Linked DNA regions of Macaca mulatta. The protein of the gene in region 3 interacts with the protein of the main gene of each other region in a pairwise test. Links are inferred from orthologs where the notes say so. Each region holds a gene or a part of one and is shown on either strand. Other genes may lie near its edges.

The links. The genes of interacting proteins can lie anywhere in the genome.
Region 1: the proteins of CNKSR1 (region 3) and CYTH4 interact in binary tests that used the Homo sapiens proteins (3 or more experiments, as listed by UniProt). The two-hybrid records come from large-scale screens. The link is inferred for Macaca mulatta from reciprocal best matches to the Homo sapiens genes CNKSR1 and CYTH4.
Region 2: the proteins of CNKSR1 (region 3) and CYTH3 interact in binary tests that used the Homo sapiens proteins (3 or more experiments, as listed by UniProt). The two-hybrid records come from large-scale screens. The link is inferred for Macaca mulatta from reciprocal best matches to the Homo sapiens genes CNKSR1 and CYTH3.

Annotation. Positions count from the first base shown.
Region 1 is NC_133415.1:14,267,233-14,271,182, reverse strand, and holds the start of CYTH4 (cytohesin-4), read left to right. Parts: upstream 1-1,150; 5' UTR 1,151-1,254; coding exon 1,255-1,273; intron 1,274-3,950. UniProt on the Homo sapiens protein: Promotes guanine-nucleotide exchange on ARF1 and ARF5. Promotes the activation of ARF factors through replacement of GDP with GTP.
Region 2 is NC_133408.1:44,755,140-44,759,393, reverse strand, and holds the start of CYTH3 (cytohesin-3), read right to left. Parts: upstream 2,801-4,254; 5' UTR 2,641-2,800; coding exon 2,607-2,640; intron 1-2,606. UniProt on the Homo sapiens protein: Promotes guanine-nucleotide exchange on ARF1 and ARF6. Promotes the activation of ARF factors through replacement of GDP with GTP. Plays a role in the epithelial polarization.
Region 3 is NC_133406.1:214,821,764-214,825,156, reverse strand, and holds the end of CNKSR1 (connector enhancer of kinase suppressor of ras 1), read left to right. Parts: intron 1-5; coding exon 6-79; intron 80-248; coding exon 249-320; intron 321-1,398; coding exon 1,399-1,472; intron 1,473-1,606; coding exon 1,607-1,668; intron 1,669-1,762; coding exon 1,763-1,862; intron 1,863-1,936; coding exon 1,937-2,118; intron 2,119-2,434; coding exon 2,435-2,704; 3' UTR 2,705-2,893; downstream 2,894-3,393. UniProt on the Homo sapiens protein: May function as an adapter protein or regulator of Ras signaling pathways.

The DNA of each region.
Region 1 (3,950 bases), on a different chromosome or scaffold from region 3:
GAAGTGGCGGCATAGTGAAAAGGAGGTGAACTTGTAGCTGGCTTTCACATTCACTGTGATCTCCACCATGTTCCATTCATTCATTCATTCATTCATTCTTTCATTCATTCATTCCACGCTTGCATACCCTCTATGTCCCCAGCACTTTACCACACACCAGAGCACAAAAGGTAACCTTGCCCTCATGGGACCTGGAGAGTAATGGGGAAGCAGATGAACAAATCTGCATGTGTCCTGAAGTTATAGGGAATTTGCATTTAATTTATACCTGTTTCTTTACAGCACAGCTTTTTCCAGAAAGGATTTGAACCAACCTGCCAGAAAAGACACAAGCAATAACGTGATACATTTTAACCAAAGAAGAAAATTAGAATCAAAGGAGAAAGTGTTTATTGAGCACCTACTATGTCCCAAGCATCTCTGACACATCCTCTCACTCCATCATTTCCATATCCCCGAGTTAGTGTTATTCCCCTTTCACAGATAAGCAAAGCGAGGCTGACTAGCCCTAGCTGAGAGTCAAACAGCTGAGTCAGTCCCCAAAGTTCACACGACATCATAGAAAAGCTGTTGATGAGCTTTTGATTTGACGATGAGTTTCCCAGCAGCCTGGGGGAGAAGGAAAATGGAGCATATTACCCGATTGTTCACTAGACAAGAAAAAGCCAGATATTTCTTTGAAGGGAAGGAAAGTCCTTCCTAGCACTGAATTCATTTGTCTTTTCTTAAGTGGGAGTTGGAAGAGAGCTTGTGGGGTGGAACAGAGGGGGCCCTGCTAGGACTGTCCAAGTTGGGTGCTCCTATGGCATTCATGTGAGGAGGTTGCCAGGTAAATGCCCATGGTTCCCTGGAAAATGTTCATCCTCAGTGAACATCACCCTCGGTGTCTGTGCGTGTGTACGTGTGTGTGTACATATGCGTCTGGGTGTTTCTTTCTGTCTTTCTCTTTTTTATGTGGCCCTCCCCTCACTTCATCTGTTTGTTTGTTTGTTTGTTTCCACCTCTGTCCCTCTCTGGCAAAGGTCCCTGCTGCTCAAAACTCTGCCAGTTTTTAGGAAGTGCTGTTGTGTCAAAAGCCTGCACACGAGACCCCAGTGGGCCAGGACTGACTTCCTCCCCACACAGGGCTGGGCGGGGCAAGCAGGAAGGGGCCCGTTACAGTCAAGGTGACGCATCCTTGCTGGGTCAGCCCGAGCAGCAGCTGGGTTGACAAGCGACAGGAACACGGGTCATCTTTTCCCCAGGGGCGTCACAATGGACCTGTGCCACCCAGGTAAGCAACTGCAGTCCACCTCTCTGGGCCTCAGGGTGCTCTCTTTTAGAATGGGACGGCAGCCCCTGCCTCACAGGGTCCTAGATAAAGGAATACAGCACAGGCGGAAAATGCAGCTGCGCGAAGCAAACATTTGTGGGCTCAGCCTAGGTGTCCAGTTGTGTTCTGGGGGCTGGGCACACAGCAGTGAGCAAAGCAGACGCTGTTCCCCCCTTCACGGGCTTGTCCTCTAGAGGGAGAAACAGGCAATTACTCTAATGTGATGCCCTACGTCAGTTGGTGGCAGGTAGGATGAAGAACAGTAAAGCAGGATAAGGAAGAGGGGAGTGCATGGTGGAAAAGGCCCCAAGATGCTGTCTAATGAGGGACCTGAGGACGGTATCAGCTAAGGGGCCTTCTAAGGAACAAACATTTCAGCCAGAAGGAACGGCCAGTCCAAAGGCTCAGAGGTGAACTGAGAAAAGTGACTTGTGATTAAGATGATGATGTGATGTTGGTGACGGCGATGCTTGTCTGGGTGATACAAGGGACTTGAGGTCCCTTTCTGGCCGGGGGTTGGGGTGGTCTTTGGGGAGGCTGAGGACGCAGCCTAGAGCCGGGGGAGGGCCGGGAGTGAGCAAGAGGCTCTGATTGAAACCCTCCCCAGGGACTAGGACCATGTGTCTGGGGAGAAAGAGGAGAAAGGAGGCTGCAAAGATGGTGAGGAAAAGAACATCAGGATTGTGTTTGGGGAGGTAAATCGAAGGTCCAGAAGAGGGGCCAAGTTTCTGTACCCTGGATGTCAGTGTTCTCCAGAGCTGCAACGGTTCTGGTGAACACGGCTGCTGGAATTCCAGAATCTACAGGCTGGTGGGAGCTGTCTGCTCCCCAGGTCCAGATGACCTCAGCCTTGTCCGGGAGCACCCTGGCTTCAAATGCACCTAACATGGAGCAGCCTGGCCCCGCCCACTGGGCATCCCCCTTCCCCCACCCCCCCACCAGGGAACACAGTTAGAGAACCACTGATCCATTTCAACAGCCCCCCAGTGGCAGAAGGGAGAAAAGAGGCCAAGCGAAGAAAACAGTCTCTCTGCGGCAGGGGCAGGACCAAACCCTGTGCCGTGACTCCCTGTCCCGGGCTCACTCTCTGACCCCTGCCTCTCCTGTGGGCTTTGGAGGTTCCCAAAATCACAGCTCAGTGAGCACAGCTGGGGGACACCTGGTCGGCACAGGGAGGGAGACCCAGCAAGGGGCAGCACCTGACTCAGGCCTCTCAGCAGACAGGAGGGTGGGGATGAGGCGGGGAGGGCACCCACTGAGATGCAAGACCCCCGCCTGTGTGTCCAGCAGGGCACTTTGTCCTTTGGGGTCCTAACATACTAAGGTTACAGGGATGGCTGTCCCCATATTGCAGATAAGGAAACTGAGGCTCCCAGAGGTGAACTAGAGGCGAGGACTGACTTGCTTGAGGTCACACGGGCAGTCAGCGGCAGAGCAGGGCTGAGAACCTGAGGGAGAAAGCCCCAAGTTGGCCGGGGCTGTGGAGAGGGCACGGGAGGGGAGAATCTGCTTTGCTTCAGCCGGTACTAGGGAGGAAATGAATTAATTGGGGTCAATGCAGCGATGGATTAATGGGGTCAATTGGTTCTCCATTGAGTAGTTGGTCTTTTCATTCATTCACTCTACAAACGACCTTTCAGTGTGCTAAGGAGTGCTGGGGACAGCAGTGACCCAGCCATGGGCCTAACCTTGGGGGACGGGTGTTGGTCTGGAACGTTGGGGGCGGGGTGGAGAGGCAGGAGTCAGATCCGGCAGGACCCTGACCCAGCCGTGCAAATGGACACAGGCTTAGAGATGGGAGGAAGCGACTTTTCCCACTGGGGCAGAGGAGATCTGGGAAGACCTCCTGGAGGAGGAGGCCAGCAGGAGGGAGGAAAGGTCATTTCCCCGTTGCCCAGACTGGGTCTTAATTCGGGCTTCTCCGTGGCCCAGTGACTTCCCCTCTCTGAGTTCCGATTTGTCATCTCTACGTGGGTGCCATCATCCTGGCCTGGCCTGGGGAAGCGGGGATTGGGAGTTAGCCAGACCTCGCTCAGGTTCCAGCTCTGCACCACCCTGCCAGTGGTCATGGTCTCTTCCTTCTGTGGGCCTCAGTTTTCCTACCTTTATTATGGACAGGCTGGTGACACAGGGTTCCCCAGGGCTGCCTCCCCTCCTCTCCTGAGGTGGGCCTGTGTCCGGAAGCAGGTAAGGCACCCTCCCCCAAGGCCTGCCGGGAAGATGAGAGCACCAGACAGCAAAGCCCCAGTGTGGCCGAAGACGAGCACTGCGCTGGTGCAGATAAGACAGGCAGGTGCAGTTAAAAATAGAGCCAGCTCGGCTCGGGGAGAGGAAGCCACACTCTGCAGAGCCTGTGGGGCTTGTGGGGCTGGGGAGGGGAGCAGCTCCGCCCACACCCCCTCTGCCCCAAGGTCCCTCCTACTTAGACTTTGAGGGGCCTCTTTATTTAGGGCCCTGAGATGGGTCCTCCTCCTGCCCTGGAAAGGGGAAGTGAGGCCAGCTGTTCTGGAAGCAGGGCTGCAAGCTCAAAGATTTCTAAAAATACGATGGGAAAGAGGAAGGACAAAGAGGAAGTGGGGAGGAGCCGGGGAGACGGGCACATTCACCAGCCTGGGCACAAGGGCAGCACCAGCCTGTG
Region 2 (4,254 bases), on a different chromosome or scaffold from region 3:
AAGTCTTTTAATCTGACCATTAACAAAAAAAGACCTTTTCAATTATCTTTGGCCTCTGCGATAACTACTGTTGGAATAGATTATTTACCCTATCTTTTAAACAAGCCGAACTGACTCCCCCAGATACTGTTCAACATTATGTACCATACTCTAAAAATATACCAAAAAATGTTATGCTTTATAATCTGCTGGCAACTGAAAACGGTTTTCTTTCAAAGAGCTGAACTTTATTTTTTTAAACATGAATTTTAAAGCATTTTTTAAAAATCTAAATGGTATTAACTGTAAAGAGATATGTTAACTTCAAAACTTCCAACCGCCAAGAGTTAAATATAAGCACATAAAGTTTATACAATAATTACAATATCACTCATATTTCAAAACGTTTTCACCTGTTTCAAAAATAAATATCCTAATATTGCCAAAAATATTTTTAAGTGTCTGTCACACAGCAAGGGAGAAAGCTACTAATAAACTAAATCAATAAAGGTTAAAAGTTATTTTCCAGCACCTAACATGCTGGCTGGCATTTTGATGGGCAATCAATAAATAAATCCTCATTGTTGAATGTTCCAGTGAGATGAATTAAATGATACACTTAAAACATTCATGTCTTTGACGAGTTTTTTTTCAAATCTGAAATACACACTTATTTCAGAAACTTGGAAAATATAAAAAGAAAATAATCCATGTCACTAATTTTTATGTTGTTTAGACCATGATGTATAAAACGGCTTATTTTAATGGTTGTAAAATACTTCAATAAACTTCCCATAATTTACCTCACCATGCCCCTACTCTTGGCATTGCTGTTTCCAATGTTTTGCTATTATAAACAGCATAATACACATCTTTATATGTGAGGGGTTTAAGGTTGTTACCCTGTGATATATTCCCAGAAGAGATATTAACAACCCAAGGACAGTTTTAAGACTTTTGATATTTAATATCATGCTTTGTTACAGTACTCAAGATCTGCAAATTGCTGGAGCACATTAAAGCCGCCTTTTTTCCTCTTTATGCCTGCTTTTATCTTCAAGTCTACACTTCTTTACTCACAAAGCCCAAAGCACCTTACAAACAAAACTGCCAAGCCAGCTAGCTGCCTTGACGCTAATGTCCAACGTTTGCATATTACAGTTGTCTTTCTTTTCTAACAAGGGAAAACTGCTATGCCCAAATTGTGACAGGCAGGAAACACGACATCCACCGGGAATCCATTCCTTAGGATCTCATGGCTCCAGACGGACAGCCTGACTGTAGGAGGGTTCGCAACTCGGCTCCTTCGTTCCACAGCGCTCCCTTTTCATCAACACACCCACTCGGTGCCACAGTGCTACCCCAGCTTCAACTATGCGAACTGAACTCGCCAAATGCCATGACGGGTGCCAACTTCCCACCATCCTGGCTGCATCGCGTCTTTCAGCAAAAAAAAAAATCACCCTCTGAGCAGCACTTGAATTCTAGAAGGCACCTTGATGATGAACCACTTCATCCTGAAGCATTCAATCCTGCTGATTCTTACAGGCAGCTGCTCCGGCAGCCTGTAATTAAGATTTCTCTAAACTGCTCCCTTATTACATGGGGTTCTGATGATTCTGATGATTTCTCTGTCAGCTCAAAGGAGATCTTTAGGAAAAAAAAAAAAAAGTCTAGAGAACCTCAACTTCAGCTGTTCCTGTAAAAACACGGGCATTAACCCTTTGCTTTCCAAAGCGAACACCCACTCCATACAGAGGCACGTTCTTCTGTTTTTAAAATCTAATTCCCAGCATGACCTAGCAGTCATTTGTATTCCACGAAATAATTTCCAACAAACACGATTCCTCCAGCAAGAGGAAACCGAACGTCAGGCACAAGACCACCTGGGCCACGCCGGGCACCGATCCGACCCACTCGGGAGCACACGGGGCTCCGGGCACACCTGGCTCTCCGGTCTCGCCTCGGTGCTGGGTGCAGCTCGTGACCCCCACCCTCGACCCCACGGAGTTTTTTGCTCACTCTGTCGCGTCTGCCGTTTCCTAAAACGTCTACCCTGACCTGGACTCCAGCTGGCCCCCTCCCCGTTCGAGCAAATCCAGCGACCGTTTCTGACCCAAAGCCAAGCAGACTGTCACGCTTTCCAACCGTTCCCCGGCCCTCCCCTCCTGTACCCCCGAGGAGCCTCCAGTGCAAAACTTTCCCCTCCCGGTTTCCCACCGGCTCAGCCGCTTCCGCCCACCTGAGCTGAAAGGGGGCGTCCGAAACGCCGGACTCCGGAGGGCGTGGACGCCCTTGGCGACAAGATGCGGGGAAGGTCGCCCCGCAAGGTCCCCCGCCCCAGAGGGGCGGCCCCCGAATCCCGGCCCGAGACTCCGGGGCGACCCCGGCCCGCAGCAGCCCTGGCCTGGTACCCAGACCCTCGCCAGCGGTGGACGGCGACCCCGGCCCGCCCCCTCCCTTGGGCCCCCGGAGACCCCGCCGCGGCCCCGGCCCGGCGCGCCTCAGGCCTCCAGCAGGCGCCGCCGCCGCTGCCGCTGCCTCCGACCCCCTCTCCTCCGGCGACCCCCGGTCCCCGGCCCCCGACCCCAGGCCGCCCGCAAGCCCGCCACACCTCCGACACTCACCGCCACCACCCTCGCCGCCGCCGTCTTCATCCATCTTGAGGCCACTCTCGCAGCCGGCGAGCCGGAGGCCGGCAACAGAGGGGCCGAGGGCTGGGGACGCCGCCGGAGCGAGCGCGCGGAAGACCGGGCGGCTCCTCAGCTCGCGGCCCGGGTCGCGGCCGGGCCTCCTCCCGCCGGGCGGGGCCTCGCTGTTCGGCGTGCCGTCACGTGACCCATGCCCCGCCTCTGCTCGCAGTGGGTGGGGCGTGGGGCCGCGCGGCCCCGCCCTCTGGGACCGGCCGGGCCCGGCGGCGTCTGTGCTGGGGGAGGCGGTAGACCCCGCCCCTGGGGTGCGGGCCGACGTGGTGCGAGTGAAACGAAGCCCCCTCGCCCTCAGCATTCCAGTAGCCTGCGGACGGGCGTGGGGCCCCGGACACTGGAACGCAACACTCTGCAAAACCCAGTGGCCAGGGGTGCAACATACACGTGCACTGGGGGTAAAAGATCAGGAAACGAACGCATTCAGAAGTCAGGCCTGGCTAAGCTCGGTGGTTCACACCTGTATTCCAATACTTTGAGAGGCCGAGGTGGGAGGATGGCTAGAGACCAGAAGTTGGAGACTAGCCCCGGTAACATAGCGAGACCCCGTCTCTAGAGAAAATTTTTTTGATTACCTGGGCATGGTGGCCTGTGCTTGTAGTTCCAGCTACTGGGGAGGCTGAGGTATGAGGTCACGTCAGTTGAGCCCAGTAGGCAAAGGCTGCAGTGAGTTATCATTGCATCACTGCACTCCAGTCTGGGTGGCAGAGTGAGACCCTGTCTCAAAAAAACAGAAAAAGATCAGGCCTTCTCCTTCCTAAGACATGCATGTCAGAATAATTCCAGTCTTTCAGCTGTCTTATATATATTGGAGGCTCTCCTCCTTCCCTCCTGGTGAGTGCATGTTTAAATTAACAAAATGCAGGGCTTGTAAATGAACGTGGTCGTGAGATTAGAACGGAATCCCAGTCCAACACACCTAGGGCTCAGCTCTCAAAGGGCATTGTAGGCGTTGGCCAATCTGGCAGCTAATGCCCTTGGAGTTTAGCGCCGGTCTCCCTTGGAGAGCTGCCAGCTGTCCTGGATTTATGATGCAGAAGGAGCTCTGAATTCAATTTCCCTTGGGCACAGCCAGGGTCCTCAGCGCGGGCCTCCTGGGCAGAAGGCCTCCCCTGGCCCCTGCTCCACATCGATGGATCTCCTCCCTCACTCCCCATATCTCGCTTCCAGTAACTCCTGAAGCATTGCTTGTGGCCCCTCCCAAGCCTTTCTGCTGGAACTCAATTGCATTAAAGAAAAGCAAACATTGTAATGGAGGAGATAGCTCATCTCTAATATAATTTTCCAGCAACTGTTTTATATTTACAAGCTGTCCATTGAACCAAAGGATCCTTCCGTTGTCATCTATCAAAGTGGACAACTTTCACCTTTTGGTTCAAGGTTGCAGGATGATTTCAAAGTTCAATCTCCTAATAACCTCAAGAATTAAACACCAAGCATTCTCGTGCAACCAAAGCCACGAGGGACACTTTTTTTTTTTTTCTCCCGAGACCAGGTCTCGCTCTTTTGCCCAGTCTGGAGTGCAATGTCTCGAGTGATCCTCACACTTCAGCCTCCCAAATAGCTGGGA
Region 3 (3,393 bases):
CCCAGGATGAGAAGGCTGAGGGCCTCATCAATGTCTCCAACTATAGTCTGGAAAGTGGACATGATCAGAAGAAGAAATAGTTAAGTCTTGGGATATGATGGGCTGGGGGATGGAGACAGAAAGGGAGAGGAAGAGTGATGGGGTGGCAGTGGGAGGTGTGGCAAGTAGCTGGGGCGCCCAGAATCCAGCCTCTCTGGGCTCTGGGTGGGCACGCCCAGGCTGAGTGATGCTCCTCCACTCCTTGACAGTGTGTTTCAGCTCACCCATGATGTGTACAAACCTTTCATCTTCGCTGCTGATACCCTGACAGATCTGAGCATGTGAGTGCTGCCTCCCTTAGCCCCTACTCTCATATAATTCCCAACCTCTGTGAGCTTGGGAGCCTGGGCTCAGGAGCCTGGAGATGCAAAGTCCAGCTCTCTGAGAGTGGTTGGTCAAGGTACTCACTTCTCTCTCTCTCTCTTTTTTTTTTTTTTTTTTTTGAGACAGAGTCTCACTATGTCAGCCAGGCTGGAGTGTAGTGGCGCCATCTTGGCTCACTGCAACCTCTACCTCCTGGGTTCAAGTGATTCTCCTACCTCAGCTTCCTAGGCAGCTGAGACTATAGGCGCCTACCACCACACCTGGCTAATTTTTGTATTTTTAGTAGAGACGGGGTTTCACTGTGTTGGCCAGGCTGCTCTTGAACTCCTGAACTTGTGATCCGCCCGCCTCGGCCTCCCAAAGTGCTGAGATTACAGATGTGAGCCACCGTGCCCGGCGTCTCTCTTTTTTTTAATTAAAAAGTTTTGGGGGCAGATGGGATTTGCTCTTTTGCCCTAGCTGGTCTCAAACACTTGGTCTTTTTTTTTTTTTTTTTTTTTTTGAGACGGAGTCTTGCTCTGTAGCCCGGGCTGGAGTACAGTGGCCGGATCTCAGCTCACTGCAAGCTCCGCCTCCCGGGTTTATGCCATTCTCCTGCCTCAGCCTCCGGAGTAGCTGGGACTACAGGCGCCCGCCACCTCGCCCGGCTAGTTTTTTGTATTTTTAGTAGAGACGGGGTTTCACGGTGTTAGCCAGGATGGTCTCGATCTTCTGACCTCGTGATCCACCCGTCTCGGCCTCCTAAAGTGCTGGGATTACAGGCTTGAGCCACCGCGCCCGGCCAACACTTGGTCTTAAACAATCCTCCTGCCTCAGCTCCCCAAAGTGTTGGGGTGACAGACGTGAGTCACCGCACGCAGTCAGTACTCAGTTCTCTAAGCCCCAGTTTCATCATCTCTAAAATGGGTGACTAAGAGTTCATCCTTCTCAGAGTTGCTCTGAGAATCATCAGAAGATGATGTGAGTAAAAAGCCCCTAGCATACAAGAGGACCCCGGAGAATGGAAACCCCGTGAGACCTGCTTGCTCTCCGTAGGTGGGTGCGTCATCTCATTACCTGCATCTCCAAGTACCAGTCTCCGGGCCGGGTGCCCCCGCCTCGAGAGGAAGGTAGGTGTCTCACAGGGTTGAGTAGGAGGAGCCCTCACCTGAGCCTCTGCCTTTCCTGGGATAGGGGCTGGGAATTCAAATGCCCTAGGCCACTCCCTGGCCTCCCCAAAGCCCACTGCTCCTCCTCACCCCAGACTGCTACAGTGAGACCGAAGCAGAAGACCCAGACGATGAGGCTGGGTCCCACTCAGCCTCGGTGAGTAGGGGGCTGCCGGGTGTAGGAGGTGGGGATAAATAGCAGGGCATGGAGCTCAGACAGAGACCCTCTGTGCTTTCCACCCTGCCTGCAGCCCAGCCCTGCTCAAGCTGGGAGTCCCCTCCATGGAGACACATCACCTGCAGCCACCCCCACACAGCGCAGCCCACGGACCTCCTTTGGCTCTCTGACAGGTGCTGGGCTGGAGTTGGGAGCTGGGCTGGGAGCTGGGGTGGGCACATCCTCATCCTGCTCCTCCCTCCCACAGACAGCAGTGAAGAGGCACTGGAAGGAATGGTACAGGGGCTGAGGCAGGGTGGTGTGTCCCTCCTAGGCCGGCCACAGCCCCTAACCCAGGAACAGTGGCGGAGCTCTTTCATGCGGCGCAACCGAGACCCTCAGCTCAATGAGCGAGTGCACCGTGTACGGGCGCTACAGAGCACACTCAAGGTCAGCTGGGGACTCTGGGCACAGCAAGGGACTAAGCTCTGGGCTTCAGGCTTTGGTTTGCAGCTCTCACCTCCACCCTGGGCACCAGACTCCAGACTCAGCTCTGGACTCTGAGCTTAGCAGCTGACAATGGGCTCAGCTGTGGACTGGGCCAGGCTCTGGGTTCCGAGTGGGGATTTGAGTCTCACCTGGGCTCCTCGTGCCACGCTGGCCAGGTGCTGGCTTCTAGGCACCAGACTCCAGAGTGAAGTCTGGCCTCAGACTCTGCCCACGTCCCTGGGTGATCACGGTCCCTTAGCCCCTCCTCTCCACACAGGCAAAGCTGCAGGAGCTGCAGGTCCTAGAAGAAGTGCTGGGTGACCCTGAACTGACAGGAGAGAAGTTCCGCCAGTGGAAGGAGCAGAACCAGGAGCTGTACTCAGAGGGCCTGGGGGCCTGGGGAGTGGCACAGGCTGAAGGCAGCTCCCACATCTTGGCCTCTGACTCCAGAGAACATACCCCCAACTCCCTGTCCTCTGACCCTGAAGAGCACTCCCATCTCTGCCCTCTGACCTCAGAGAGCAACCTCCAACCTCCTGACCTCTGACCCTGGCCAGCACTCTACCTCCTGACCTTTGACCCGAGGGCCACCTCAACCCCAGCTTCTGACATGTCCAGGACAGAGCATCCCTGGATTCTGTTCAGGGTGGGAAGTAGTACTGCTAATCACGGTCTCACCCCGAGCTGACCCCTCTGCCTGCGCTTTGTGCCACCCTCTCTCTTGCCAAAGAAGAAACTCTCCCACCCCATCCTCCCATCTCTGGGCCACAGCCCTGCCCCTACAGTTCCTTGACAGTTCTCCCCCAAAACCAGGTCTGTACAGGTGTTCTTTGTTTTACATGAGGGCTACTTTCCAACCAAATACAGTCAATTTTTAAAAAAATGAGTCTACATGTATCTTTACTTCCATATTTGAATTGGAAATCTGCCCCCCGGTGGGGACTGGGGTGAGTGCTCTTGGCCAGAGAGGGGGTGGCAGACCCTTGGTACAGCCCGTTGATGTACATGCGAGTACCTGAGCTCCAAGCCTGCCAGGATGGTGGGTCCACCTCTCCCCAGCTCTTTGAAGGCTAATGGTGAGCTCCTACCCCATTCCCCAGGGGCACACAATGAGAAACTTTCACTTCATAGATGGGGAAATGCACTTTGCATGGAAAGATGGTGGGGACAGTCCTGGAGACTGGGCAGGTAGGACAGGGCAGCTGGTACAGAGGGGTGCAGGTTGAGGTCTGCCCT